Linked DNA regions of Tamandua tetradactyla. The protein of the gene in region 3 interacts with the protein of the main gene of each other region in a biochemical or structural test. Links are inferred from orthologs where the notes say so. Each region holds a gene or a part of one and is shown on either strand. Other genes may lie near its edges.

Region 1 (8,007 bases), on a different chromosome or scaffold from region 3:
GAGGAGCCCCCCCACGCACACACACACACACACACTCATGCCCCGCCACTTCCTTCCCCAGGGTCTCCGCGAGGCCAATTATTGCTCCCCAGTGGAAACGCGACAGCCACTCACTCCCTGGCGCACGCCTGCGAGGACTCAGAAGAGCAACCCTTTTTGCTCGCGGCCAAAAGCCGCTGACCCAGTCACGCACCGAGGGCGGGAGGGGATCCGGGTGGGAAAGCGGAGAGGGAGGGGCCGCCAAGCTATTTGCTCTGGTTCCAGTCTGGAGAAAACCGCTCACTGCTTGGGCCGCCCAGTTCCCATCTCCCCTTCCCTCCGCCCCCAGCAAAGCAAATCCCGAAAGAAACCAGTCGGCGAAGGGTTCAAGGCGGAGGGGTGGAAGGCTGGAGCTCCCGGCTCAGGGTGGATTCAAAAAAGGCGTCGCCGCGAAAAAAAGGGCGCATCACATTTATTTATTTATTTATTTTATTTTCAGGTCTTAATGTCGCGGAGGTTTTTTGCAACTCCCGACCAGACACAAAAAGGAAATCCCACCACGCTCCCTGGAGTCAAGAAAACTGTGAACAGCTTTCGGCCTGCACTCGACCTCTGTGTCTGCATCTCTCTTTCTTGGCTTATTTTTTCAACCACCACTCCCGCCCCCACCTCGCCACTTCCTTCCCCCACCCCCTTCCTCCTTTGCACCAGCTGCAGAGTCGCAGCAGATATTCCCTCAAGAATTTAACTAACCCACAGCTCAAGGAATTACTGAGATGGCCTGACACAAAGCGAAGATGCTGTTTGCGTGGGTCGCCCAGCGCAAGGGCCTGTTGGAAAACCTTACCTGGTGTGACTCTGCGTTCCCACCCCACACACACCGCATGCCCCCCCCCCCCCCCTGTGGGACCGCCTGCAGGGCCCCGAGCCCCACTACTCCCGCCCAAACGCTGGGGACTCGACTCTCCCTTCCCTCCCCCAGCGCACCCCACCCGAGGCTGTTCCCAGTTCCTGCCTTTGGCGGCTTCGGGCCTCGAGGGCTTGGGCTGCCCGCCTCCCCCTCCCCCCCAAGACTTGGTTTTACTTTGGGGAGACGCTCCCAGAAAGCCTTGGAGGAAGAGGAGAAAAGGATCGAGCAGCTCTGCCCTCCTCCAGGGCCGCGGCTGCCCAACGTCACCGGCCGCGGCCGGCAGGGATGCGGAGGCCGCGGGCGCCCCTGCGCGACCGCCCGCGCCCCGCGCCAAGCTTCGCTCTTTTTTTTTGAGCCGCCTTGGGCTTTTTTGGCTCTCACGCCACTGCTGGGGCAGGCTGAGAAAGGGCTAAGTGTTCTTAAGGCGCCTGGGACCCTAAAAAAGGAGGGGAATCCCAGAAATGGGGGAAGTAGTCGGAGCCGGGCCGGTTCCCGCGGGCAGAACGCACAATGCAGGGGACGGACGCCCCGGGTCCCCGCGCCATCCTCGGCCTCTGGGTATCTTCCCGGGCAGCCAAAGGGGCTTGAGCTGCGCTAAGAGGAGTAGGCTGGGGGAGTGATGTGGGTGGGTGAGGCTTCACTTTTGCAATCTGCAGGATTCGTCTCTAATACGTTTTTCTCGGAATTATTTTTAATTCAAAAAGATAAAAGCCGGAAAGACCAATTTCATCTCCAAAACCTTTTTTCGGGGGTCAGGGACGGGACTCTTGCCGTCTTTTCCTCGAGTCTTCCCAACGCCGAAACTTGTTCAGAGGTAGCCTCAGTTTACCGACCAGGTCTTTGGACGTTTTAACGATTCACAAAGCGTCCACCCCACAAACCGTGGTCCTTGCAAGCCGCGAACTTAAGCGGAGCCCAGGAGGCATCTGAGGATGTGGGGCCAGACGCTCGTGGGGAGGGAAGTTTCGGGACACTTCCCCGTCGGCTTCGGGTACAGAGAACCGGGAAAGAGCCGCGTCTTGCCAGCTGTGAATCTTAGGACGCCAACTGCGAGGAGGAGCATCCTGGAGCTCCTGGCATTGCGGCCATCCTCCCTACAGATTCCATACCGCGAAACGATAGAGGGGAGGTTCCTTGGAAGCCGCAAGTCCACGAAAAGAGCTCAAGGAGGAGGCGCGACCTGCCCGAGTAATTCGCGTGCTCTCTCGGGGACGTCCGGCCGGCGGGGCACCTGATCGGGTGACACTCCCCTCAACGCAGCCCCGCCAAGGGCACGCACCCACCAGAAGGCAGTAGGACTGCGCTTCCCACGACGGAACCGCCGCTGGCTAGGGGTTCTCTCCCCCACCCTGCTGCCCCACAGCCCCCTCACCCTCTCCGGACTTCAAGGCCGGCGCCCTCTTTCCTGGCCTGGTCTTTCCCGTCGGGGCAACGCAACCTCCCGGTCCACAGACAGCGCTTTCAGCTCACGACCTTACAATCTTTTTCCCAGTGATCCCCTAGCAAGGGCTTCTCCCCTCCCCTCCTCGCCCACATCTCTCGAAGGTAGAAAACGCCCCCGGCACCCGACGGAGAGGGTGGCCTGGGCGGAGACAATAGCAGGTAAGGGAAGTCTTTCAGCGCTAGCATCCTCACTTCCAGCATCACCGTTGGAAAAAGCTTGGACCACCTTTTGCCCCGGCCGCATCCCGCTTCTGCCCGCAAGGATGCGCTTCTGTCCCCTGTGCCCAGCACCCCTCGCCAGGCAGCCTTGCTCACCATAGATTCCCTGCAAGAGCGGGCTCGCCAGCAGCAGCTTCTGGGGACCTCGGAACAGTTGCAGTGAGCCTCGACGAGGGCCGGGGACTGGGGCGCTGCAGGCTCGAGACAGCTCGGACCGGAATCCCATCAGGGAGCGAGGCGAGATACTCAGCCCCGAGCAGCAGCGGGGTCTCAGACTCTGTCCCCCGGCTCGGGTGCCAGACTCACCTAGCTTCCGGGCTAGGCTCCACGCGCCTTCCCGCCCGCCCTCCTCCTCGGCCCTCTTGCATCTTCTCTTCTTCGTCTTTCCCTCTCTTTCTCTCTCGCTCTCTCTCTCGCCCTCTCGTTCTTTCTTCCTTTCCTCCTCCTCTTGGCCGTCAGCTCCTCCCTGTGTCCCTCCTCCCTTGCTCGCCTCCTTGCTGGGGATGGGAGCCCCGCCCACATCCTCCCCTCCCGCCGCCGGGCCTCGCCTCCCAGGCCCGGGTCCCGGAAGCCCCGGCAGCGCCCGAGTCCTCAGCTGCCGCCGGGGCTGGGACGCCGCTGCCTCCAGCTTGCAGAAGCGGCCGGGGCTCACCTGGGGACCACGTGCAGAGGTACTAGAAAGCATGCACCGACTAGTCGCCGTGCCTTCCAAAAATACCCATGGGAGTCTGGGCTTCCCTGAGTTTAGAGTAACTGCTGCCCAAACTGATTATTAAAACAGTGAGTAATCACCATTTACCCCGAGTAATTAGAGATAATGAAACACCTCTAAAATCAGGTTATGGAGGAAGGAGCCCTTGGATTGGTTTTAAGGGTGGCCTTCCATAAGTTGTTAAAGGATTTCCAAACGTTGAGAAACAGGCTGCGCACAGAGCTGAAGGTGGTACCTCTTCGGCTGTTACAAGGTGGCTTTCCTCCCAGAACATCTTTTCAAGTGCTTCTTTTGTAAAGCGTTGGTGATGATCCCCAAAAAGAGCTCCAGTGAACAGGCTTGCCCCCACCTCCCCCACAGGCCCAAACTTCCTGGGAGTAGAGGTGGCCTGGACTTAGGCTGGAGCTACTTACAGTTAGAAAGTCTGAATATACCTCAGAAGCCCTTTTAACTGCCACAGCAGAATTATTTTTGTGGTTCTTGAGGATGGTGGATTTGTTTGTTTCCTGGTGTACACCCAGGAATCCTTTGCTCTATCATCTTCCAAGGAAGTGACAGTCACTGGAGCAATAACTTTGTAGGCCACCGGGAAACAAGAAAAGATGCCCTTTGGTCTGTTTTTAAAGGAAGGAGAAGTGGTGAAGAGTTGGTCCTTTCATATTCTAGAAAGCACTAGTAATCGTATTAGCGGGAAGGTGGAATGTGGTAGCTTTAAAACTTTCCCAGACAGGATCTCATTTCACACAGTGCCTGTGATGGTGCGACCAGGGAGGTATCAGCATCATCTCTATTTTACAAACAAGGAAGGGGAAGGGACTTGCCCAAAGCCCTGAAGGAAATCTCAGCCTCTGCTCTGGAGCCTCCAGTTGATGCTTCAGGGTGAGGTGAAAGATCCCAGCACTGAGCTCCAGGTAGCCAGACGAGTGCTGGAGGACAGCATTCCCTGTCCTACTTTCTCTCTGGGAGACAAACACTGCACTTCCCTGTCCCAGCAAAGCTTTTAGGTCTTGACTTAAACAGATACTGGCCCAGGGTAGCTGACCTGTAAAAATTTTACATTATACACACCTTCAATATTTAGAACACAAGAACTCCTTCCTATGTGTGGAAAAGGACAAAGGGTGGGAAGTGTCCGGATCACACCGCTGACGAGGCCTTTTAGCTCAATAGTGCATCAAACAACACACGAGCAAGCTGTATGACTTTGGACAAGTCAGTTCATTTCCTACACATCTCAGGTCTCTCAACTGAGAATAAAAGGATTAGGCCAAATAATCTCCATTCTCTCTTTCAGTCTAAAAATGGTCAGATTATTTCATTGAAATTTTATGAAACAACAACTTCTTTCATCTTAAATCACCCCTGAGACAGGGCAGGGCAGTAATGCCACTTAGAAAAGATGACTCGCAATATACCTCCTGCTTCCAACAAATCCGAATTATAATTAATTAATTAAAAACAACACAAAATTAAAACTCTATTGAATAGCTACCTAATGTCCTTCCTGGGGCATTAGGCGGTGTGGTCCTTTAGCACACAGAGTTGGGACAGATTAAATGTTTCCTGAGCCCCCTAAATCAATCACTATGGTTTTAATCCATTAGTTAAGAGTGTTCCTTAATCCTTAAACTCAGAAACAAGAGTGATATACTGCTTAAAAGCAGGGCTTTATCTATTTTATTTTTAAACTCCATAGCGTTTTAATGTTGTTTAATCCCAAGTATTTTCGGATGATAATTGTTTTCCCATTTTGCTGAAGCCCAGACAATGAAGTGGCCGTTGACCAGCCCATGATTCTGTTAAACTCACAATCAGGAGTGTACAATTGCGCCACCTGAAATACTTTCTTTAGACCCTGTTATGAATTGTAAAATGTGTGGTAGGAACAGCTCAGCGTCACTTCTCTTTGGATATCTTTTCTTTCCCCATGCTTTAAGATGGGTGCAAACCATCTGGTATTGACTGTCTTTACCCACTCGTCTTCTCCCCTTTTCTTCCTCTTTCCCATGCCAAGAACAAATTACTTGTTGGTTAGAGAGCTAAGTCAGTCAGAGCCTAGGTATCAAAGTTGGCAAGGATAATTGGTCCATTTCTTTTTCCCATCTCAAGTCTCCTGTGAATCTTGTTCTTCTCATAGAACATAATATAGATGAACCAAGTGAAACTCTATTCTTAAAGCACGGGCAAGTGGAGATATCCAATGATGATTCAGAAACAACTGTTGCTGCTCTGCTGTTAGTGCTGAATGAAGGGTGTTTGTTGGATTTTTCCTGGAAAATATGAAGAAAGACGAGTTGGCCAATAAGCCTTTAAGACAGTCTTTCTTAAGATATGTTCTGTAGGATCCTAAGCTGGAGAACTAAGAGAGGGGATGCTGATAAAACACAGATTCCTGGCCCTGCCCCCAATCTGGGCCCAGAAATCTGCATATTTAACCAGGTCCTCTAGTGATTCTGAGCACTGTTTGAACAGTTCTTTCACATATATTTATGGGGCTGGTAGATGCTATTAAAAAGATGGTATCAAGAATTAGTAAACAGTCAAGGAATATGTTTGGCTTATGCTTTATGAACTGCTAAATGTGGTAATTACAGCAGTACTATACCCAAAGCACACCAAATAGGTCTATGCAAGTGAAAAGATTTCTAATCTTGGTAGCAGCAGTAGCCTTTGCTTCTATGTCACATTAAGAACCAGATGAGGTCTTCAAGCTTTCTTTCTTGATCAGGTATTTATTGAAGCTATGAAGATGTACGCCAAAGGAATTCCCAGCACCATTGCTAACTTTTGAGAAGCAAGATAAATTTTGATGAATTAGAAAGAGATCTCTTTTTCTCTTATTAATATTTACCATTTGTTACATATTTGCTCTCTAGCCTCCACAATACCCCCATAAAATCCTTGTTCTATAAATGAAAATCTGAAAGTCAGAGAAGTTGCTTAGCATGATAGAGTTGTAAACTAGTAAACTCAAAATTCAGCCCAGGTCAGATGCCTTGAGCCTGCAAGATCACTCTGGCCACAGCTTCTGACAGAAGAATCCTTGTCCTGGAGTCTCTCCTGATGCTAAGGCACCAACTGCCGTTCCATCCTAGCAGACGCCTTTACTGGGAATTTCAGAATATCTTCCCAAGTTCTTGAAAAACAGAGCAAAATGAAGCTCATTTCCTTCTGATCTGAACACACAGCCCACCTCAGAGTGAGACTTAACTGTGACCTTCTTTGAGAAAAAGTTGCTTACCTCTGCTAGGATTTAGTGTCCTCGTGGTAAAATGTGAGGATTGAACAGGTTCCTCATAGGTCTTTCTCAGGTCCCAGGAGAGGAAATCTATCCTACTACTTGAGATTGTGGTCAGATAGCTTACCCTCTAGTGTCTCAGTTTCCTCATTTATAATTGGAGAATGGTGCTTTTATAAGTATTAAATGAGTTCATGTAGATAAATTACAGGCATACAAGTGCTTAGTAAATATTAGCTGTTATTATTCCTTGCAAAGGCGATGATTAAAAAGCAAAGTAGAAGACGAAGAACCACTTTGAGCATCGAGTTTTACCAAGAAGTTTATCAGCGATAAACTTTTTTAAAGAAGGGGTTATGCTTTCGCATTAATTTGCAATCCCTGGTGCTACACATATCTCAGGTGTTTATTGAATAAGGTATGTTGTTTACACAAATCATCATTCACTGAGTTAACATTATGATTTGTCTGTATAGATCTGACCCATGAACATATGTCTACCAAGATAACTAGTAAGTAAAGAACAAAATGGGCAGTCAGACCTACTGAGAGCAAGGAAATAATAGACAAGATGACAAATTCAGAACATTTTCTCTCTCTGAATCTTATGATCCCTAATGCCTCTGACTTTTTTCCCGTCTTGGTAAAATGTACACCTGTCTCCTTTTTCCTAGTTTAAAGAATAAATTTTAATCTGATTGAAAAGTTCCTTTTTCAAACATTTGAGACTATTCTCAACCATTGATATACATCCTTCAAAGCTAAACAATACTAGAATTCTAATTTTTTTCATGAACCAAATAAAATGCAATACTATTTGAGTTCCCTATGCCTTAAATTGTTACCTTGCTACTCTCTGAAATATGGTTCTTTTTTAATCCTTTAAAGTAAAGTATCAAAAATAGAGAATGCTGATCCAAGCTCCAATGATATTCGAGTTTTAGAAGACTGCTTTTATATCATTAACATGTTTAATACATGGATGGCAGACAAGATACGGATGTAGAAGCGCCTTTTCCAAGGAATAGTTATCACAAGGAGGGCTGGATTGGCACACAGTGATGGGTATTTGACTTCTTCCTGCTTAGGCTGCCCCTCCATGCTGTTTGGAATTAAATTCTTCTAGAATGTATCATGAAGATTAAAACCTTGGAGATGACTTTGCTCTCAGCTCACACATCTTCTCCTTCCCTCTCTCTCCTTCTTCTTGGGTCTCAACAGTGGGACCTGAACAAGAGTCATCTCGCACTGCCACTGTGAGATGAGTCTTGGAAGCAGAAGATTATTACATGGACACCTGACTGTACCAAATAAGTTACATGAGAAAAAAAAAAAAGGTCACCGGGATAACTTATTTCTTAGGAGAGCAATGGAGGAAGCCCAATCAAGAGGTAAGAGCTTCAAAAAGGAACGGGCTCCACCTCTAGGACTCCGGGAATGAGCTGAAGGGAGGAAATTGAGGCTTCGAAGAATCGCTTCTCTTGCTCCCTCTTCAAAGTTTAGAGC
Region 2 (7,861 bases), on a different chromosome or scaffold from region 3:
TCTACTCTGAGCCTATCTCAGACTCAAGCACAAGACAAGAAAGTCATTGTGGAAACAATAAGATTGATTGTGGAATTGATCTCCCACGGGGATTAGATAGGGATTCAAAACCTTCCAACCCAGACCCAGATCAACTGTAAATTAGAAAGACTTTAGGGCCCTGGGCTTTGATTTTCCAATACTATCTCTGAAAATTCTGTCCTTGGCTCTGTCTAGCCTGAAACCCTGGCTTGGCACGAGAAGAGATTTATAGAGTAAGGGCTTCCAAACAGACAAAGAAATCCCGATTCTTACCCCCTCCCCTCTCTCCCTATGGAATTCTTGCACGTTTAGCTGACCAGGGGGCATGCCTTCTGCCCTCATCTTCCCCATCACTTGCTTTCTCTCCAGTTCCTGGGGGAGGAGTCGCCCTTCTGGCTGCACGCCAAAAAAAAAAAAAAAAGGTACAGCTTTACTAAGGGGAATCCCTGGCTCCCCCACTGCACAAGCAGTGCCTTAAAGCCTGGTTCCAACAGCGACAAGAGTGGAAACACCCACTGCTCCCTGGCCAAAGTGCCCTTCCAGGAGGGCTTGGTGCGGTGACTCCGCGGGCGGCTCACCTTCGTGGTGGAAGCTGCGCACCGTGTTGGCGCGACTGGCCGCCCTCTCCAGCCAGTGGTCCGGGGCCGGCACTCCCGGCTGGCCCGAGTGCCTGCGGTACAGGTCCAACATATAGGGGGGCACCACGGCGTTTCTGCTGGGGGTGGGTCTCTGCTTCAGGCCGAACATGCTGAGCAGCCGCAACTCGAACTCGCTCAGGATGTCTTCCGAGGGCTGGGACAAGGAGCGGCCCGACGCCGCCGCGAACTTCCTCCGGCCCAGCTCGGGTATGAGGCTGGCCGCGCCGCCCAGGAGGACCTGGGGAAGCAGCAACGCTAGAAGACAGCGGGTCCCGGCCACCATGGTCGACCTGCAGACAGGATCGACGGTGAGTCACCGAGTTCCCGGCACAACATAACCCCTGCCCCTCGTTCGGTCTGCTGCCACCTCCTCCACGGTGCCCACCTGGCTTGCAACACTAACTGGGCTAAGTCAGAGGAGCTGACGCTCGGATATTTGGGAAGAATGGAGGGCCCCTCGTTCCACAGCCCTATGGCTTTCCCCCTCCCATCTCATTCTCAACCCATGTGCCCTCGGATTTGGGTTTCACCCCCGCCCCCATCGTTGCAGACTATCACCTCTTTTCTGCGACACCCACGCTGACAGCAAGTACAGGGAACCTGGGGAAACTGCCCCTGGATCCGACAAATCTGCGTCCCCTATACAAACCCCAAACACACTCACACAGCGCTCGCTTGCATATAAACATGCAAAAAATGGTGCATGTGACTTCCTTAGAGGCACCGTATAGACTTCCTGATACACACACCCACAGTCTACAACTTCCAGACCCTGTAAACTCAAGGCCACAACTTCCGAACAGCATTCGCAACTTGTGACCCACGCCCCGAACTTCGGGGGCGTCAGGGTAGGCTTCCCCACCCCCGCCCACCTCTACCGCAGACAAGATACACATACATCTCCCTGGGATTACGTGAATGACTAATAGCTAATGTTTCACGTGTCAGCTGTTAAAAATACAGTACAAGGAGGCACTGAAGTACTTCCCTCCTCGCATGTCTGGAAACACAGGGAGAACCCCAACTTCTAGTGCTTTTCCAAATGGAACGTGGCTCCACATAGAGAGCTGGTCTCCGGAAAAAAAAACTTGGAGAAGATGGCACTGCTACTGCAGGGGTACAGGTTGGCAGCTAACGGGTGAAATCCAAGGGCCACCCTCTCTAAAGGATTTTGATTCTCTCTTTTTTTAAAATCATCTAAGCGCTAACAGCCCTAATAAAATACCCAGGGGGTCGGGGGTCGAAGAGTGACAGACAGGCGGGCGAGATTACACAGTGGCCGGGGGCGGCAGGATGACGGCACCCCGCAGGGGTTCGGCTGCACGTGGACCAGGAGGGCGCTCTGTTTACGTCCACTCAGCCCGGCCCCTGGGACGGCTCAGCCGCTGCGGCCGTCCGAGCCCCGCGCGGGTCCCGCGTCCACCGCCCCCACCTCCGCTCCCCTGCCCCCCGCCCGCGTTCTCTACCTTTAGGAGGCCGTAGACCGTCTAAGAAGCACGCGGGGACACGTCCATTGAAAGAACCTCCACATGGAAAAAGCTCTGGCCGAAGGACCTGGCGCGGGAACTGGGTGTCTGCTCCCTTCCTTTGCCTTCTCTGCCTCCTCCCGGGCGCCTGCTGGGCAGCGGCCCTCTCCGCACTGGGAACGGCGTTTAGGGGTCCGGACCAGCCGAGGAGCAGACAGGCGGCGGGGCTCAGGGCCGCGAGGCTGGCCCGGCTGGGAGAGAGGCACCGGCACGAGAGCAAGTTATTCTCCCTGCAAGTTCAAGAAGTCTCCAGCCAAGTGCTGACACACAACAACAGCGAGCGGGGGGAGGACTGCGGGGCAGGGAAGGGAAGGGAGAAAGGAAAATCTGGTGCTGTCGTCGTCTTTAGGAACCAGCGCCCGCGGGACGCGTGGCCCCGCACAGGGCCGGCTCCGGGACGCAGGGGGCGAGGGTCGGGCGCTCGGCGCTAGCTCCGCCGCGGCCCATGGCTCGGGGCAGCCATCCTGGGCGACGCCGGTTCCGGGGAGGGGTGCAGCGGCTGCGGCGATCTCGGTGCCGGGCGAGTTGCCCCCCCGCATCACTCTGCCTTACTCCAGCGCACCCCCATTAGCGCTCCACTAGCGAAACCGCCGTGGTTCCGGCGCCCCGTCGTACTCGGGCGCATTCTCCGGAGAGAGAGTCGAGTCGAGTCGAGTCCCCGAGCCGCCAAGGCGGGGTGGCCGCGCTCTTCGAATCCCCCGGTGCCAAGTGCCCTGCCCTTTGTGGCCAGCCTGATGTCCGATCACAACTCAGGCGGCGCGTCCCGGGCCCCAGCACCGCGGCGGGGGGTGCTCGGCATCACGGCGCTCGGGCTCGGCTCCCAACTCCCCGGCGTTCTGCGCGGAGCTCCGCGGCTCTGTCGCGGCCCGGACAGCCGAGGCCACGGCGCTGCGGCGCGCACTGCCGGACGCTTCAGCCCGATCCGAGTGCGCGACGCGGGGGTGTCTCCGAGCCCCCGAGGAATCGGCGCGGCGCTCGCCTCCAGGGGCGTCCGGGTCTGCGGTGGCGGTGGCGGCGGCGGCGGCGGCTGCTGTCGGGCGGCGGCTGCCAATCCCCGGCGGGTTGTGGGAAGCTGAGCGGCGGGCGCAGCGCGAGCCGAACGCGGCGCGGCGGGGCGAGGACTCCGGCGGCGGCGGCGCCGTGGCGCGGCGCTCCCGGCTTTTAAAGGGGACGCCGCCTGCCGGCTCCCTCCCGGCGGCGGCCGAACACCTCCCCCTTGGCTGCGCGAGCCGGCGCAGTGCGCGGGGGATCCCCGAGCGGGCGGGAGCGGCGCGCAGGGGTGTGGACGGCGCGCCCGAGCAGCGACGGCGGGTGGGGCCGCGAGCGGGAGCCGCGTGGCCGAGGGGGGCGCTCGCGCTTCCAGCCCCTGCCCTCCAATGGGAGAGGATCCCGAGCGCCCGACCTCGCGGGGGCTCCCGAGGTGAAATCCGGACAAATAAAGGGTCAGGCCCCAGTTTCCCCGCGGGGCCCGTTATTCAACTTTAGTTTGAAGGTTTTTTCAGTAATAGGCGATTAAAAAACAAACAAACAAAAAACCCATCCAAGTTCGGGGGGATGTCAAAACGGTGGAGTAGACACGTCTGTGTTTTCCCGGGGTGGGGGTAGGGGGGGAGAAGAGAAAGAAAACCTTAGGCTGGAAACTGGGTGTGTTTAAACCCTAACACTTTGGTGTACATAATTATATCGTGTATGTAGATGTAGGAAAACTAAGACGCATTCCATTAATATGTGTATACATGTGAAATAGATGTCAACCCGCTGTATATGACAGATGTGCAAGTGGACTGTGTGTGTACCAGCCGAAGAGGACAGGAAGGAAGGGTTTTATCTTTTTATGGCAGCAATCACTTCGAGCTGCCATATCGATATTTATCTCGCCTGGCTCGGGGGCATGAGATTAGCAGCCCAGAGGACAGTAAAAAGCGCACAGCGTGAGCCAGGCATACAAGATAATTCCGGTTTGGAACTTTAGAAACTTCTGACCCACCCCCCACCCCCCACCCCCCACCCCTTCCGCCCCGCCTCCAGCAGCGAGGCTATGACTTGTGGTCAAGTCGCTTTTCCTCTTGAGCTCACATATTCCCCAAAGCTGCTGCCCTTCTGCCTCCTGAGTCTCGGGGTCAAGGCTTCTTTCTCTCCCAGAATTCCAGGAGTCCCAATAGGTAGCGGTGACCCAGTTGTCCACATGATCCCCTAAGCCGAAAGCTGAAAAATTCTGGGAAAGTTTTGGTTCCCCAAATCGGTTGGCTTGCACCAGAGCCTTGGTGCCTGCAAGCAAAGAGATAGAGAAATCAGATGCAAGAACTAATAATAATCTATTATTCCTGTGTATTATTTTTCGGTTGGGAAGTTAAAATAATTCTAGGTTCTGCTCACATAAATCGGATTAGCAACCCACAGAGGGGAATTAGGGACTCATTGTTTCTGAAGGTATAAAGGTCAAGTAAGGTATTTTGGAGTAAGTTTGCCTACTAGGAAACTAAAAGGGGAGTTTGTGTGCAAAATATACAGAAACGTTTTTCTCTATTCCCTGAAAATAAAGCATAATAAAAGCTAATTGTCATTCTGAATCATTCCACACCGGACAAGCAATAAAACATATTCTTCTCATCGACCCAAGTCAAATAGTGTTTATTGTGCTTTTGAAACGATTTCCTTTCCTATCAGGTTTGAGACGTTAACAGCAGGTTCCGTTATTGGTGAGCTTTCAGTTTCGAACCTATGTAGCCTTGAAAAAGGAGGGGCAAGTTGATCGCTATTGGAAGCACCCCAAGCAAACACGGAAACCAAATTTTGGTGATGACATCAAAGATGTTTTGCAGCTTTAGGCCTTCATGACTTAAGAAAAGAAGCTTGTCTGTTTATGGACTCATCTTTGTTCGTCAAGAATCTGAGGGAAGATGGGCACTGCAGGGCCCTCTATTCAATTTCCGTGTTGCCCATCACAGGATCTCTTCTGGTGGGAATGCAATTGCTGAGAGGCTGCCGCATGCCTTTCCTAAGCACATCTTCCTAAATTTTGGCCTTTCTCCCTTAAGAGCCTGGCTCTCTGGTTGTTTTTTAGAGATGGCTGCCCTCTTGTGGTGGAAATGAGTCAGAACGCCTTCGTGGGGGTGGGGGGGGGGGGAGTCAATACATAAATAAAATAAAAATCATCTCCTAAGGACTGGTTTGGGGTACTACGTCCTGGATGGCCACATCTACTGGTTTTCCAATGCCAGGCAACAGAAATAGTTAAAAACGACACATCTAAATGGAAATAATCTTCCTTTCTTTCATTCTCTTTGTTATTGACCTCCCATTACTTTGAGGGGGCAGTGTGTGTTCGCCTTGAAGATACTACTTATGACTAGCCTTTGTCAACTCTACATTTCTCAGTTTCAGTCAAAGTTATCTCACCCAAATGGCAAGATTCATTCTTCCTTGGTATCAAATTTGGTATGTCTGCCAATAGATGGGGGTAAAGGGGTGATTGGAGGAGAGGTGGTGGTTGCAAATTCAGATGCCTTAAAGGGGATACACGAAAAGCATGCCAGGTAAGGATTCCACATGCAGTAGGTTGTTGCTACTCCATTCCATTTTTCTTGCCAGCTTTTCAACAGATACAGGAAATCTGCATTTGATTGTGTACGGACATAGCCCAAGGTGAAATTAATTGCTTAAAGAGTCATCCTTTGGCAACTTTTCCTTTAGCAGTCCAGCCCAGATAATGTTTAATTTTATTGCATCCTGCAGCTGCTAGCATTCAGCCTTGTTCTTACTAGACCAACCATTATGCAAATTAACATTAAAATAATGATCCCCGCATATTGTAAAGGTCACAGCAGGCATTAAATAATCCATTTACCTTGTAATTGTCATTCTGTTGAAACCTGTGGCAACTTCCCTGAGAAAACTCTTGGCTTTTTAGCATACCTATCATTTACTTCCCATTGGGACACCAGATACCAGTTCTTCACCCAAATGAAGTTCTTTCTGAGGAACCTGGAACCACAGAAAAAGAGCAGCGTCTACTCTAACAAACTCTTACCTATTTGGTGTTTATTTAACTGGACATGGTAGGAGGCATGGATGGAGTGGACATGTATGCCAAGTCAGAGTCCCGGCTTTCAGGCAAATATAGGCTATAATTAAAAAATGTCATCGCTTGTACCCATCTGTTGATAGGGTAAATAGGCTCTGTTCTGCCGCCTCAACTGGTAATGATGGGCTGGAGAATTTTTAAATGTTTATACAAACACAAGATGCCATTTGCTACTTATCTGTGTATCTTTAAATATAGTTTTCAGCTTTCTGCCTGAAATATGGCCTGATTTTGAAAGATAAGATTTTGTATGTCTTTTGTTGTTTTAACAGTTTTTTCTTTTTTTTATCACATTGCTGTACGGTGAGGTATTATGTCATAAAGCTCAACACCTGGATCGATCTAAAGCAATAACTAATCTCCTTTCCTCAGCTTCCTCAGGAATAAAATGTAGAGATCAATATATGACCTTCTCATGGGACTGACATGAAGAATGCATGAAAATATATATGCAAAGACAACAAAAAGTTGCAAAATTTGAATCACTATATTTATGCAAACTAATGTCATTTGTACTTAGAAGTTATATTTTTGGCTTATGTTATTTTTTTCATACTCCATAGAGTCCAAAAATATGGGTTGAATGAATACATGCTTCTGAAAAATAATTATGTCTTCCCAAATACGTGATTTTAGATAGCCATTAAATATTATTTAGTTAACATATGTCAATATATTTGTATATCTAGTCAGTGTATTAAAATGTGTTGATCTTTTGCTAATTAGATTACAAAGCGCCCACATGGTATTTCTCTTTGCATATTCATTCTACAAAAATTTACTGAGCAGCTAGTATGTCCATGACATTATGTCACTCAGGTCCCAGAGAATAGAAAAATACATAATCTTTGCACGTAATGTACTTAGAATTCAGTGGAAGTGATGGAACATGTTCACAGATTATCCATATAAGGCATATGAGATAAGAGTTTCAGAGAAGTGAGAAGCAAGTGTGTCAGGTTTAATGGAGAGCAATCTCACTTTGAAATGTGAGTCCAGTAAATTCATAGTAGAGAGAGCATTTGAAAGGAATATTTCAGGGAGAACAGAGATTCAGTAGGATTAATACTTTACAAATGTCAGCAGTAGCAGTAGCAGGATTTCCAGCAACATCTTTAGTTTCTGAGTTTAAAGAGTTTTACTAGCTGCTTTCTGTTTGTTGTTTCAATGGATCCTCAGAAGAACCTTGCTCATTTGACAGATGCTTAGAAAGGTTAAGCCATTTTCCTAAGATCTCACAACTAGCATGTAGGAAGTCCAATAGCCCATTCTAGAATCCATGCTAATGGTCTCCCAATTCCAGACAGTAGGAGCAGCCAAAAGCCAAGACATCAGGATAGGAAAATGTAGGCTGCTGTTTTGCAGGGCACAAGGAAATGGTTCAGATTTGGAGGAGGGTTTGGATCGGGGTAAGGTAGTTCTAGAAGATTACTCAACTCTCTAGGCAGGGTCCTGGCAGAAAAACGAGGGCCATGCCAAAGAGGCCGTTTCAGAGCGTTTAATAAAGAAATATTTTGCAAAGGTGTGTGTAATGATAAGGACTAGTGATGTACCCTGCCTCTACACTGGGAAGCCAAACCAGGACAGCTGCA
Region 3 (7,542 bases):
AAATTCAGCTTCACAGATTTTGGCTTATAACGCTATGTAATATTAAAGAAAAAAAAGACTAAAACCACTTTTAAGCAGTGCTTCTTTTAAACTAACCCTTTAAGGGACACAATCTTAAGAATATTTAGCAAATAGAAATTAAGTTTATTTTTAAATTGTTTTCCTCTTACTTTTATCAGGTCTGATCAGAAAATAAGCATGGCACTATAAATGAGAAACTGCATTCAAATGGTCAAGAATAACAAAGAACACTGAAAAGTCTAGTGTGAGGTTTCTGCTCACAGAATGAATGCTTAAGCATAAGGCCTTTGACTCTTCATATTTTACAAGAGCCACATGGCTTAAGGCTAGAAAATTGAAATAGCTAACACAAAATATAAAGAAACTTTGAAAACAATCGCTTATTTTTACCCCAAAAAGAATTAAGTTCACAAAATAGAAGTTTCAAAATACACTCAATTCATAAATTCAAATTATCTTAACACCAGTGCATAAATTTTCATAAAGACAGTAGACACCAATCAACAACAGCAAAAGCAAAAAGTGAAACTTCAATTTCAGTATTTTTCCAGGGCAGATTTTTAAGATGGAAATAACTCCTGTGTCTAACACAACAATGAGAAATTTAATGACTGTGAAAATTACACACTTACAAAAGTAAAAGAATAATTAGAAAACTGTCATGTTGCTCATGACTCGTTTATAAATGCATAATCTATTTGGCCATCCTGAACCAAATCTGAAAATTATATGTAACTATTTACTATAGAAAATCTCTAAAAGCAGACCACAAAAAAACTGCTTGAGAAGTAACTGCAATCGGAACATTTTTTCTAAGGTGTCTGAGAACTAAAAAGAAAATATCCGAGGGAAAGAATGACTACCATATCCCTTTAAGCTCAGTAAAAGGTCAAAGAACTTTCAGGGCTCAAATATCTTGTAAGTCTGATGTCAGGTCAAAGTTGTCTCAATGACAGGAAAGCCAAGAGATGCCAGATGACTACTAGAAAAGTTACTGAAAACACTTCCGTGCTCAATAATTCCAAAAGCATATAAAGTATAAGGATCCAAAATAACATGATGGAGATATCGTTAAAAAAATACTCTGTTGTAAAATAATACTAAAGCTAATAATAATTAACAGTATTATAAATGTAGTAAGAATCTCACAGTTCTGGCTTCCACGACATTTATTCTATTCATTGTATAAGATTTTTGAATAATGAAAGAAACACGGATTTCCGAAGAGTGCTCTAAATCTAAAAATAAGGTTCGTGTATGTTTATAGTTGCTCTTTTTCCTATAAGCCAAATTCGCTTCTTCGTATTAAAAAAAAAAAATTATAGCTCTGTTTCTAAAGATCTCATAATAGACACTGTTCACTGGTGATTAAAATATTATTTTTAATCCTTGCATTACCTCACAGCTAAAAATGTCAAGATACCACACCCAACATGTCTTTTCTTCCTCAGTAGGGGGTGAGAATTTGGGAGGGGGATAGGAAACCATACAAAAACCCTGCAGGTTTTTCCCTGGAAGGCACGGGAGAGGCGCGCGGGCACACGGGCGCAGGCCTCGGCCTCTGCGGTACCCTCCCTCGTCTACCGCAGGGGAAGTGGCCGGGAAGCGCCATCGGGGCTACTCACCGGCCGCAGTGCTGACCAGCAGGACAGCCCATAGCAGCGAGGACACTCGCCAGCGCCGCTGCAGAGAGGAAGGCATCCCTGAGCCAGCCAAGAAGCAGGAAGGCAAAGAAAAAGAAATATGGAAAGTAAATACGGGCGGAGAAATACTGCCAGGAAGCTCGTCTTCTCTCTCGGCTGCTTTATCCTGCCCGCGTTACAAAGCAGTTTGAAAGGACAAATGGCAGATGAGAAGACCCAGCAGCAGAGCTTTCATTCCGCTGTAGAAATCCCCTACATTTCTCTCCTTCGCGGCTGGCGGGGGTTCATTCGCCTAGGACGGGGTGCTTCGGCCTCCCAAACTGAAGGCATGTCCGTGAGAAGCAGGGAACCGAGAAGAAATCCCTGCAGTTATTTCCCTCGCAGTTTCACGATATCAAAAAAATATCCAGGTCTGGGAGAAAACATATCCAGGGAGCAGAGGGGCGGAGGTCGAGGATTGGATGGGGGGTGGGGAGGGGGGAGGAGGGCGAGATCAGAGCCAGTCCCCCACCGCCGGGAAGGGCGAAGCCCCGTGGGCAGCGGCGGCGCCCGGCGGCCCGAGTCGCATCGCCCGGGGCTCCGGGAGCGCAGGATTCCTTTTTTTAAGTTTCGCTTCGGTGCTCCCTTCACTCCGATTTCACCAGCTACAAACCCTCTTCCTCGACTAGATCGAAAAAGGTGACTGCCTCCATGGGCAAACTCGCAGCTCTCACGCCTTCGCGGAACAATCCTGCGAGGGTCCGACAGGGCAGCTCCGGAGGGCTGAGGGGCGGTGGGGAGCGGGGGAGGGGAGGGGTCGGCAGGGAGGCTGCTGGTGCAAGGGGGTGCCGGGGAGGCTGCCCTTTCTTTTTTGCCTTTCCCGGTGCACTCTTCTCTTATCCTCTCTGATTTTTATTCCTGCAGTTAGATTCTGAGGTAAATTCCACCGTGAAAGCCTTATCTTCCTCCCTCTCTGGCTCCGGTGAGCGAATCACAAGCCCTCGAGGAGGAGGAGGAAGCCGCCGCTGCCGCCGTAGCCTCCGCCGCCTAGTTCTCCCGCAACACTGGGCTCCGGGCGGAGCTCGAGCGTCTCGGGCCGAGGGCGGGGACGGCGGGAGGGCGGATGTTGGTAGCCGGGAAGGGGGTTAGGCAGCGAGGGTCAAGACACCCAGCGCCCCTCCGGGAAGCACTTCCAGTGGCTCCGCGCAGACCAGACACAAAGGGGGGGAGTCGCCGCAGCTGCCAGTCTGCGGCGCTCTCGGTCACCGGAGTCGCCCCGCCTCCGCCTCCGCGTCCGCCTCCTCCTCCTCAGTCTCCGGCTCTTCCCGGCCCAGTCTGTCTCCGGCCTGTGGTGCAGCGCGGGCGGCGGCGGCGGCGCGACCAGACCCTCACTGCGCCCGCGCGCCCGCAGCCCCGCCCGGCCCCGCCCCTCGCTCCCGGCCCGCCCAGGCAGCGCTCGGCGGCCCTCGCGCGGCGGGTCTCGGCCCCTGAGCTGCCTAGAGCCGGGGGTGGGGCCGGCAGCCCGTGGTGGGCAGCAACGCCTTTTCCTTTCGACACACGCACACCTTCCTTACGTGAATGGCTTGGCGTTTGTGTGTGTACTTGGGATGGCGGCCACATCTTTTGTCCAGCTTTCTCTTAAGTCTTCTAAGCTCCGTGATTTAGTTCCAGACTGAGACGTCGCCGTCTCCTCCGTGTCTCCTGGAGAAAAGCCTCGAGGAGCCGAGCCGCTCCATTGTTTCCCCGGGCCGGAGCCTTCCTCTCCGTAGCCCAAAGAATCCAGACAGGCCTGCCTTTCCCCGAACCGGAGACCTTAGTCTGTTCGGTCTTCCCTCACTGACTCAAGCAAAAGCCAGAATTAGAAAGACCACCCCTAAGTTGGTGTGGGTTTTTTTTTTTTTTGCTCTCATTGGCGTACAGCATTCCTCAAGCACCTTTCCCTTCGCCATTCTTAGCTGACAGGAATATTGAACATTTGGAAGGATGTGAAGCCAGAAAGAAAGCGCTCTCTTTTAAAAATCCATAAGCCGTCTTGCTGTACGTGCTTGCCTGCAGTGCGGTTTACACTTCGAGGGTGGGCCTTTATTCACAAAGCTGGGGGCGGGGAGCTTTTCAGGGCTGCTGAGAAGAAAAGCCGTGGAGAGTTGCTACCAGGGTAGAGGCTGGGGACGAGTGTTGGCACCCAAGGAAATGGGAAGGTGCGGTTGGTACCGTAGCTTCCCTGGATCCGGAAACGATCTGTTTAGTCTGTTTTTTAAGATTTGTAAATCTCGTTTGTACCCAAGCGACGAAGATGAGAGTAGGGGGTCGCTCTTCGCCGCCCTGCACCCCTTCACCCCTGATCAAGTCGATTTGGGTAGGATATTGCTAGGGCAGAGGGAAGAAGGTGACGTGCGTGTCGCCATGATCGGAAGTCTGGTTTTACTACTGAGCTTCGAGGTGGAAATTTTGCGGGGTCGGGGTGGGGGTACGGGAATGGTAGAGGTGAAGTTTACCCTTCCCCTCCCCCGCTAAGCAAAGGGTAATGCTGAAGGCTGGTTTTGCTGGTCTTTCATTGTGGCTAAGGGCAGTTGCTAAGATACATGCAGAGATACACTCCTAGAGATACTCTTTGCTTTTGCTTATTCAAGCCGCTTTTATCTTTTTATCCAACGTTGATGTAAACAAATCTCGACAGTCCTTAAACTGGTTGTTGTTATCAAACTAAGTATCTTTTTTATTTATGGATTCTGGTAATACCAGCCCAAGATTCTCAGACTCTTTTTAGTTGAAATATTTTTGTACTGTTTACCCTCCAGGCAGAAAGAAATGTTTCTATATAGTAAAGTCCCTTAAGTGAAGAGGGGAAAGGAGCATATGCTTTGATTCTGTAATTTTGTTTTGCCCGAAACGCCTAAAATAAGAAAATGGTATTGTTTTACCTTTTGTCTTTTAAGAAATGAGACAAACATCCAGAGAAATAGGGTTTCGGTATGTTTGGGGATACAGAAAGTTTATTAGTAATATATAGGTTTTCTTCCTCAACTTGGGATTATGTATTTGATTATTCAACTTTTATTTGCATAAATTTTTTTCTAAGAAACATTTAGCACCCTTGTACATATGTGATAAATTACACGGAAAAGAGAAAGGAGTTTCTATTTGCCACTTTGTTGGTAGGAATACTTAGTAGACAACCTGATAGACCACCCTCTTCCTTTTCCTGTTGTTCCTCTCCAGTTGGGACATGACTGTCCACTCACAGTGAGAAAGAACATAAGAAAAGAACTAAAACTATGCACTGGGCCTGTTCACCAAGACAAGACAGGCAATAGAGTCAAGCTCTTTGAGAACAAAGGATTGGCTGGCAGGTGAGGTTTAACATCTGTACCTGTCAGGATGGGCTAGGTTATAGAAACATTCCCCAAATCTGAGTAATTTATTGCAACATTAATTTATTTCTCACACACCCTACATGTTAGGCACAAGTCATCAGGGGGTCTATCACAAGTCTGGTTCACCAGGAAGTAGACCCTGAAACTCTGTGATCAGGAGATATATTGGATAGTGCTCTCAATACAACCTTTGTGGGGACTGAGGGAAGCAGGATTGAATAGAGAGAGAGGTTGAACTGTTACACAGTTGCAAAAGAGCTTTACATTATCCTGTAGGGAGCCCTTTAGCTGGGGTGGCCCTTCAGCATTGTCCTAAATTGAGGCTGGGGCCAGGTCTTTATACCCCCACATCAACCAGTGATTGCTTATGGGCTGCACCTGGGGAAGGGAGAGGCCCTTGTGTGAGAGGGCTCTCTTCAGCCCAAAGCAACTCCCAGAGAGGGAACCAGCTGAGAGCTGTCAGTCACCATTTGCAGCAATTAGGAGCAAGTGTTACTTCAGTTCTAAAAGGTAGATCTGGGAAGTTCATCACAGCATCCATTAAATGGGCTTTGTTCATTGCAGTCACCAAGAGCCCCAGACTGGTAGAGGCTTCACTGAGACCCAGGCTTTCAAGATTGCCACAGTAGAGATCATGAAATTCAATTACTAGTGTGGCAGTGTTTTGCTCTATTAAAATGCTTCTACCCAGAAGCAACACGCTTCAATAAATGTGAATTTCATTCACATTTTATTGACCACTGAAATCACAAGGCCAAACCTAACTTCAAAAGAGAAGTGAAGTGTAATCCTACTGTGTTACTAGAATATCTGTGAACAGCCCTAATGACTACCATGGTGTCCAAGGATAAATATTTTCCAAAGCCTAACACATAAGAGTGTTTTCTAACTTATGGGAGAAATTCTGGGGTAAGGAACCTTGGTGGAAGAGGAAGCAGCAGAGATATCCAGGTGGGCAAACCAATAGCATCTGGGAGACTGATAGACCTTAACTATTTATTAGGACCCTTCATGGAATGATCTTTTCTCTGAGGTGGAGGATTTACAAAAGCAAATCAAAACCCTGATCTTAAGAAGGCAGATTATTAGAACAAGAATTAGAATAAGGAATAAGGCAAAATCTCTGTTACATGCATGAGAACACATAGGAGTTACCTGGGCTTGGATACTTCCAAGACCAAACTTTTAAATCATAAAGATGTGGTGTCAAAGAAAAAATAGAAGAAAAACTCTTAACTCTAGCAAAAAAAACACAGGAGACCAAATGTTAGCACTGGGCATACCCTTCAGGGAAGGCTACCTGAAGCTGCTTGGAAATTTTAGGATTTAATCCTTAGGATTAAACTGAGAAATGGGACATGGAAGAGTCTCCTTTTAGAAGACCAAGGTGTAGATACAGGAAGAAGGGGAAAAACTCTCAGTTGTGAAATACAAGGAAAATGAGATTGGAGATTGACAGTCCTGACATCCTCTGGACCGAAAAGCAACCTAAGTCTCTCTCTTTTGAAAACATGTAAAGGAGAAAACAAATTGCTTTTCTTTGGGTACTTAGACCTCTTGTCCCCTTTGTTTCCTTCCTTTTTTTGTCTAAAATTTTGAAATTGTAATTATCCTAGCTTCTGTGGTTACCCTTCCCTTCAAGAGCAAAATTAAATAATCTAAGTGGCTGAGTCCTGAGTGACTGACTACAGGAGGACCTAGCTCCTCCCCAAGCATTTGAAGGATCCCAGAGGAGGATTTATATTTTTCCCAAATGTACCTGATTTGCTCTGAACGTCTTTACTGACATCTCATAAGAGCTTTTCCTTGCCAGTGCCAGAGTAGATACAAGCATCCTCCATTTATTCTTTAAGATACTCTGTATGTGATTAAAAATTTTACTGAGACTTAGAGTTAAAAAAAAAAAAATTATAACATGGTAAGGGAAATCTTAAAACAGAATATTAGACATACTGGTCTTGAAGTCCTTGAGCTACACATATGCCTGCCCAGTGAAATCGCACACACAGATACACACAGTCTTTGAAAGCCTCCATTTTCTGGCTAACTCTCTGCTAGGGGCTACTCTCAGCTATCAGAGACCCCTGCAGTTCCTTGCCACATTTCTCTGTCCCTAGACATCCCTATAACATGATAACTTAGATCTTCAAAACCAGCAAGGAGAGTCTCTCTCACTCCAGTCTTCTAAAAACAGAGTCTTATATAACATAATATAATCATGGGATTAATATTCAGTTGCCTTTGCCATAATCTGTTGGTTAGAAGCAAGTCATAGGCTCCACCCACTCTCAAGGGGAAAGGATACAAGGATATGGATCATGTGTGTCATTGGGTGTGCCCATAACTTACCTCTTAGCACTGAGAGACAATATGAGAAGAACAGCTATTCTACCTTAGAAGGACCCATCAGGGAAGGCCTGTCTAGAGAAGTGTCACTTAACCTGAAATTTGGATGATTAGAAAGAACCAATGGTTAGGCAGAAACCTGATGTAAAAGCCCTCTTGTCTCAAGAAACAGGCAACAG
Region 4 (7,015 bases), on a different chromosome or scaffold from region 3:
TCAAACACGTACCTCTGCTTCCTGACCGCAGGGCCTCGGTCATCTAGAGAGAACACCAGAGATCATTCCCTGCACCCCACTGAAGGAGCTAGTCACCTTGAGGCCTCAGGGGTGAGCCACGAGCAGAGCTTTCTTTACCTTCTTCCCCTCTCTGACAGGGCGAAGACTGAGAGACTTTTTCAAAATGAGGGAGCTTCCCACAAAGCAGAGCAAGTAGGGGTGTTTAATTGTAAATGTGACTGTGGATGATTTGAGTGGCTGGAATCTTGTGATTCCAGATGCTTGTGTCAAAGACCTATGTGTAGCTGAGAGTCATCATCTTTATAACTGCCTTCTACATATTTCTCTCCCACCCATTATCTAATTTGATACCTCCTTTGTGAGGTAGGGAGGGTATTATAACTTCTCCTATTTTTAGAGGAGGAATCTGAGGCTCAGAGAAGTTAGGAGACTGGCTCAGTTTCACCCAGCTAGGAAAAAGCAGAACCGGAACTTTAGAACTTTTTATACCCAATCCTGAGTTGCTTCCACTTTACCTCAAAGGAGACCCTAGTATTCTCGTTTTACAGGTGAGGCCCAGAGAGGGGGTGACTTGCCCAAGTGCACACAGCAAGTTAATGACAAAGCTGGTCTACAGTGCAGTTTCCCTGGCTTTCCAGTCTAAACATCTCATTGTGTATCTATCTTATCTGCTGGGTGTGTGAATGTGTGTATGTGACAGATTGTGTATGTGTAATGATTGAGTTCTTATGTTCATGTATGAGTGACATGTCATGGGTATGTATGATTGGGCTTGTATGAACACTTAAGGAATGGACAAGTGTATGTATGTGTATGATCCCTGTGCATATATATGTAAGAAGGCATGCGTGTGTGTATGTGATTCAGCATGTGTATAAATAAAAGACTGTGTGAGAGGCTCAGCAGTATATCTGAATGAGCATGCCCTTCTTTCTAAATACCAACTTGCCATTGGGGAGCATTCATATATTGCTCTAGAAGGTGACTAATTAGACCTTTAAACTCCCCATCTCTCCCTCCCCAAGTTCCCTTAGTGCTGGGGGACACAAGGACTTACTTTATGAGCCCCCAAGCAGTCACAGCTTTCCCTGGCTGGGCAGGCAGCCAGGCCACCTCCCCCTCCTCAGCCAGACCTTCTACTTCTGTGCCTCCCTGCCCCCCTACCCAGCCCCCACGGGCCTGCTCTAATGAGGAATGGCCCCTCCCTTGCTGGGCCAGCCAGTCCTGAGACTCACAGAACCGGAGGATGACGACCAGAGCAATCAGCTAGTCTGTTCCCCTCTTAACACTTACAGAGAAACTGAGGTCCTGAGAAGGAAGGGACTTGCTGGGGTCAGAGGGAAAGCTTAGAGGAAAAGCCAAGCAGTAACATTAGGTGGGCAGAAGGAGCTATGAAGGAAGAAGGTATACCCCTGGGCTAATGATGAAAATTATCTCTGCTTAGCTCTGCCAGGACAGGGCATAGTTTTCATATTTGAAGGGTTCTCAGAAGTCATCCAGTCCAACCCCCACATAAAGAAGGGGAAACTGAGACTCTGAGGGGAGAAAGGTCTTTTGCAAGGTCCCCTATTGAGCTAGACCCTAGATGTCTACATATCTCCACATTGTTCCATGCTTCCAATATGCCCCATTTACTGTCTTCTTTTCCTCTGCCTCTGTTTCCTTGCCTGAGGACAAAATCATTGAACCATAGGAATCTAGAGGTTCATTTTTCTCTCTGTCTCTGAGAAAACCCACAAAACCCTGGGCCCTGGAAAGTTTGGCCCTGAAAAGTTTGACCTAGTAATCTTGGAGTCTGGTCCCCAACTCACACCAATAGACTGTATGACCTGAGTAGGTCTAGTGTCTCCTTATGCCCCTTAAGGAATGAGATTTGGTAATCTCTAGGTGCCCTTCAACTCTGATGTGCCACCATGGGGGTCCTGCTACATATGAGGTAAGTCCCAGACACCCACCCCATACCAGATGCACACACCGTCTCCCTCCAGTGCAGTGTCAGGCCTCTGTAAGCCCCTCTGCGCGTGCAGATGCCCCTCCCTGTGAGCCGTGCCCCTGCAACCCCGCCCCCTCACCTTGCCCTTTGTCAATAAAGCTGGTGATGGTGTTGGCCAGGCCAGCCTCCAACTTCACGCTGCTGTTGCCTCCCTTTCTGTCAGCATCGGACAGCGTCCTGTACAGCGAGAGCATGTACTCGTGGGGTGTGATGGGGGGCGGGCGGAACGGCTCCTTGGGCTCTCGAGGGGGTCCAGGCTCCCTGGCCTTCTTCAGCAGGAAGGGGCTGGGGACAGTTCCTGCCTTTGGGGGTGCCTTACCCCCAGGATGCTGTCCTTTTGGGGTCACAGTCCGCGCTGCAGCCTGCCTTGTCTGGGGAAGGTGTCCTGGCTTGGATTCAGGGCCACCCGATCTGGGAGGCAGCTTTTTGGGCTCATCCTTCTTGGGCTGTGTGAGGCCTCCTGTCTGCCCAGTGGCCCCCTTTGCCCTGGCATTGGTGGCCCCCCCACTGTAGCTGTGACCCCCTGGCCTGAAGATGTTCCGGGCCAGAGGGGGCCTCTCCTTGGCCTCTGCCTTGGCCAATCCTGGCCTGGCCCCCTGGGGTCTCTGGCCTAAGTCAGGGGCTCCCAACACAGTGCAGATAAATTCCAGGTCCAGCCAAGCCAGGTGCCAAAGCAAGAAAGTGAGGAGTTTGAGGAGTCTCATCCTCTGACCAGCCGCTGAATGGCACCCAAGAGAATGGTGGCAGGAGTGAAGGTGCCTCTGGTTTGGGAGGAAAAACCATGAAAGGAATGGACCCTCAAAAGCAACGGCAGCAGCAGTAGCAACAGAAGGAAAGGCTTTCTCCTCAGTCTGAGACTCTTGAAGTCTGCCGGGTGTGTGTTTGTATCCAGTCCCATAGTGGAAATGCTCTCGTATCCAGACGTGCACCCGTCTCCAGTCAGCAGCTGAAAATAACTCGTTCTTGAAAGGAGAAAGCCGACCGCCCCCTTTCTCCTGCACAACTGACTGAGGGCTTGAAGGAGGCTTGTATAAGGCTGAGGGATTTTTCCAAGAAGGAAGAATGGCGTAATGCTGCCTGTATGCTCCAGTTTTTTTTTTTTTTTTTTAAGTTTTGAATCCTTTCCAGTGAAAATACTTCACTTGCGTGAGTGCACACACACACACACACACACACACACACACAGGCCTGCAGGTGCTCAGAAAAATCTTTTACAAACCTGAACTCAGGAATTGGAAACGGAATTCCAACCCAAACCAATTTAATTACTCTCTGATGTCATGCTGTCTAAACTCATTTAAGTGCAATATATTTATGTGAAAAAAATCACCGCTGCCCTTTCGAGGCCGTGGCTCACGGGGGCTCTTGGCACAGAGCCCCGCAGCAGGACTCTGAGCTTAGGGGCTCCCAGACTGTGGCGCAGACTCAGGGGTCTTCACCTCCACCTCATGGAGCAGCCCACCCCACTTTCCTGAGGAGAGATGCTGAGGAATGAACTCCAGGATCTTAAGCCCCAGAAGCATGAGGAGTTTGGGTTTTCAGTTAAGTCCTTGGAGTGTTTTTAAAGCAGTTACAACCCCTGCGTCTAGTCTGGGGCCTGATTTGTTGTGTGTTGCCAGGGGTGGGGGTTGGGGGGTGGAACAGCACAGATGGCAGCATTTACCCACAGCTTCTTTTATTTTAATAAACTTGTGGTGACCCAGAGAAATATCAGTGCCCACTACACCCCTCCCCTCAAATGCCATTGACTGAGCTCAGATGATTTCTTCAAGCTTGGGGGGCACTGCCACTCCTGAGCCTACCCTTCAGACAGAGGCAGGTCCAGAGTGTACCCCACCACCACCCCCGCAAAGGTGTCCTCCGAGTTTTCTTGGAAAGGACTAGCTGAGGCCAGAGGTGGCAGCCCAGCCCGAGGCAGCAGCGGCCCCTGCAGGAAGCCAGAAAAGAGATTTCCCCACATGATACTTTTCTGGGAGCTCGGGAAGTCTGAATTACAGCTGAACTCAAAAGGTGTTTTTAAAGTGCCTCCTTTAAGTACTGAAGCCTCCTTCTTTTGGGAGCCTCCCCCACAGAGTCTCTGGGCAACTTACTGCGGGGTCAGCAGAGGGAAAGTTGATTCCCTTCACCTGGAATGTCCTCCTCTCACTCCCACACTGGAGGAGGTCCCCTCATCCTGAGAGGTTCAGCTGAAAACTCATCTCCTAGGGGAAGCTTCCCCTAGTCCCCAGACAGAACCAGTCACTCCCTCTTCTACATCTCACTACAATGCTTGTCACATTGTGAGAAGTGGTAGTCAGGTAGGTTTCCTTATTTATTAAGGTGAAATTCATATAATATTCAATTTACCCCTTAAAAAGGTACAATTCTGTGGCATTTAGTTTACTCACAATGTTGTGCAGCCACCAACTCTCTCTCGTTTCAAAACTTTTTCACCACTCCATAAAAACACCCTGCACCCATTAAGCAATTACTCCCCAGTCCCCCCTTCCCCTCTCCCCTGGTAACCTCTAATCTGCTTTCTGTCTCTATGGATTTACCTATTCTGGATATATCCTATAAAAGGAATCATACAATGTATGACCTTTTGTGTCTGGCTTCATTCACTTAGCATGTTTTCAAGGTTCATCCAAGTTGCAGCATTTATCAGTACCTTGTTCCTTTAATGGGTGAATTATATTCCACTGTTTGGATATACTGCAATTTGTTTGTCTATTCATCCATTGATGAACATTTGGATTATTTCCACCTTTGTCTATCATAAGCCTGCCTAGTGGAGATCTATTTGTACCGTGAGGTTACCAGATTTGTTTCTCAGCATAATTTGGTCATTCCAAGCTTTATCTGGTGCTGAGATCAGGAAATTCAATAGAGGTATACCTCCCCATCTCCAAGGACCAATGTACCACCAGGCACTCTTTTGGGGAACTCTTTAAGAAATGACTGAATTTATTACTATCCCTCTAGTTACCAAAATTCACAACTGTTGTCTTCCCTTTTGACCTGTCTCCACTTGAATCTGTCACAAGATCCAACATCTCTCGTATTCCTTCTCTCCTCTCCATCCCCTTTACCTCCACTGTCTAGTCAGTGCTGGTCTACTGCAATTCCCTTATACCTGGCTTCTAGGCCTCCAGGATGTCTCTGTTCCAACCCTCCCTCTAAGAACTACCCTTTAAACAAGAGCCAACTCACGTGATACCTCCTCCAGGAAGCCTTCCCTCAGCTGCTCCCCCCCCACCCGACCACCAAATACAAATCCTTCTGAATTACACCATACATTTTCTGTACCCTTTTCCATTTTGGCATCTCAGAGATTATTCAGTCTCTGCCTCTGCCCCGTCTCCAGCTGAGTTCGTTGCTTCCACTCTGTGCATGCTTTTAAAATATATTTAATATGATTTAATTCCTTATAGTCATAATGATTTATTTACATATCTGTGTCCCCCCATTAGCTTGTGACTAGACTAAAATACTTATGTATTTTTGAATTATTCCTAGTCCTTGGCAAAGGGCCCAACGCACAGCAGATTTGCAGTATGTATGGAATGAATGAATCTCTAACCAGCTCTTTAATGTGAAAGCCATCATTTTCTACTTTAAGGTATAGTTACTCACAGACAAATGATGCCTTCCCTGCTTGTCTCTGAGTTCCTTAAAGGGACAGATTTTATCTTGCTCACTTAATAGGCACTTTGTAAGCTTGAGTGATTGACTAAATGAAGGGGGAATTAGTCAAACAAGTAAGACATCCTTGCAAGGGCTCTGGAGACAGACAGATCTGGTTTTGAAACCTGGTTCTGCTATTTACCCATTGTATGATCTTGGGGAGTCTCTAAACCTCTAAACCCTGTGACGGTACCCACCTCACAGGGATATAATGAAGTGAATCATAAAATGCTGATTAGCCTAGCAACTGGCAAATAATAATAATAGCTCCTCTTTATTGGGCTCTTTATTACAATAGACTCTGGCCTATTGTCCTTTTGCATTGCACTTTAATCTTATTTTATCCTTACAACAACACTACATTGAAGATACTCTTGATACTCCCATTTTACAGCTGAGGAAGTTGAAATTCAGAGAGGTTAGGTTACTCCATTTTTTTTTTTTTTGCATGGGCAGGCCCCGGAAATTGAACCCAGGTCTCCGGCATGGCAGGAGAGAATTCTGCCACTGAGCCACCATTGCCTGCCCTTAAGTTACTTTTTAATTCCCACTTTGATGCATTCTGTACCGAAGAATCTTAATCTGGGCTCCAGAAACACGGAAGACCTAAAAAGGTGGTGGGGGCAGCTATAATAGACTTGGCTTTTACTCAAGGTCTCATCCATTGGTCTGGAACCTTGGGGACATGGAGGAGTCTCAGGGCAGGGGCTGTGTGAGGACTAGGGCACCCTCAGGAATGGGGTAGGAGCAGGGAAAGGGGACTCTGAATTTGGTCTGAAGGCCCTCTCAAGGGAGGAGCCCAGGGGACCTGCCTGGCTCTCACTATAAAGGTGACTAATCACTTTGGTCCCCTCTGGTAATTGCAACCAGATGCTGCTGCTGGCAGCGCCTGAGTCCCGACATGTTTAATTACTGGGACGTAGAGTCCCTGGGTTCCCTGTGTCTCCCCCACCTCCCCCTCTCCTGTCAGCAATATTTATGACAAACTCAAGGTAGAGGATGGGAGCCTTGGGAAACCATTGGCATGGAAAAAATCTTTGCAGTCTCTTCCACGATTTAGAGCCTTTAACTTCTTAAAATGTTTCCGCATCCATTATCTCATTGGCACTTCAAAAATCATCCTTATAAGTCACTAGCCCAGGGATTATTATGCCCATCTCACAGGTGAGCACTAAACCAAATAATAGCAATCCCTTGCTGTTTTCAAACACTTAGCGGTTTTCAAAGTGGCATCACATTCGTTATGATATCTGAACTCCCGAGGTCTCTCCACAAGCCCATCTAGCACAGCAAAGTGGTAAAGAGCACGAGCACTGGGGACAGTTTGTGTCCCAA

The links.
Region 1: the proteins of BMPR2 (region 3) and BMP4 form a complex in vitro, tested with the Homo sapiens proteins (2 studies listed by BioGRID). The link is inferred for Tamandua tetradactyla from reciprocal best matches to the Homo sapiens genes BMPR2 and BMP4.
Region 2: the proteins of BMPR2 (region 3) and BMP2 form a complex in vitro, tested with the Homo sapiens proteins (4 studies listed by BioGRID and IntAct, with this or other methods). The link is inferred for Tamandua tetradactyla from reciprocal best matches to the Homo sapiens genes BMPR2 and BMP2.
Region 4: the proteins of BMPR2 (region 3) and GDF5 form a complex in vitro, tested with the Homo sapiens proteins (2 studies listed by BioGRID and IntAct, with this or other methods). The link is inferred for Tamandua tetradactyla from reciprocal best matches to the Homo sapiens genes BMPR2 and GDF5.

What each region holds. Positions count from the first base shown.
Region 1 is NC_135338.1:12,344,130-12,352,136, reverse strand, and holds the start of BMP4 (bone morphogenetic protein 4), read right to left. Parts: upstream 3,007-8,007; 5' UTR 2,920-3,006; coding exon 2,858-2,919; exon of another isoform or gene 2,648-2,857; intron 406-2,647; exon of another isoform or gene 194-405; intron 140-193; exon of another isoform or gene 115-139; intron 1-114.
Region 2 is NC_135327.1:54,115,591-54,123,451, forward strand, and holds the start of BMP2 (bone morphogenetic protein 2), read right to left. Parts: upstream 3,003-7,861; 5' UTR 2,126-3,002; intron 950-2,125; 5' UTR 943-949; coding exon 600-942; intron 1-599. UniProt on the Homo sapiens protein: Growth factor of the TGF-beta superfamily that plays essential roles in many developmental processes, including cardiogenesis, neurogenesis, and osteogenesis. Induces cartilage and bone formation.
Region 3 is NC_135329.1:177,097,940-177,105,481, reverse strand, and holds the start of BMPR2 (bone morphogenetic protein receptor type-2), read right to left. Parts: upstream 3,005-7,542; 5' UTR 1,723-3,004; coding exon 1,647-1,722; intron 1-1,646. UniProt on the Homo sapiens protein: On ligand binding, forms a receptor complex consisting of two type II and two type I transmembrane serine/threonine kinases.
Region 4 is NC_135327.1:17,071,314-17,078,328, reverse strand, and holds the start of GDF5 (growth/differentiation factor 5), read right to left. Parts: upstream 3,008-7,015; 5' UTR 2,719-3,007; coding exon 2,094-2,718; intron 44-2,093; coding exon 1-43. UniProt on the Homo sapiens protein: Growth factor involved in bone and cartilage formation. During cartilage development regulates differentiation of chondrogenic tissue through two pathways.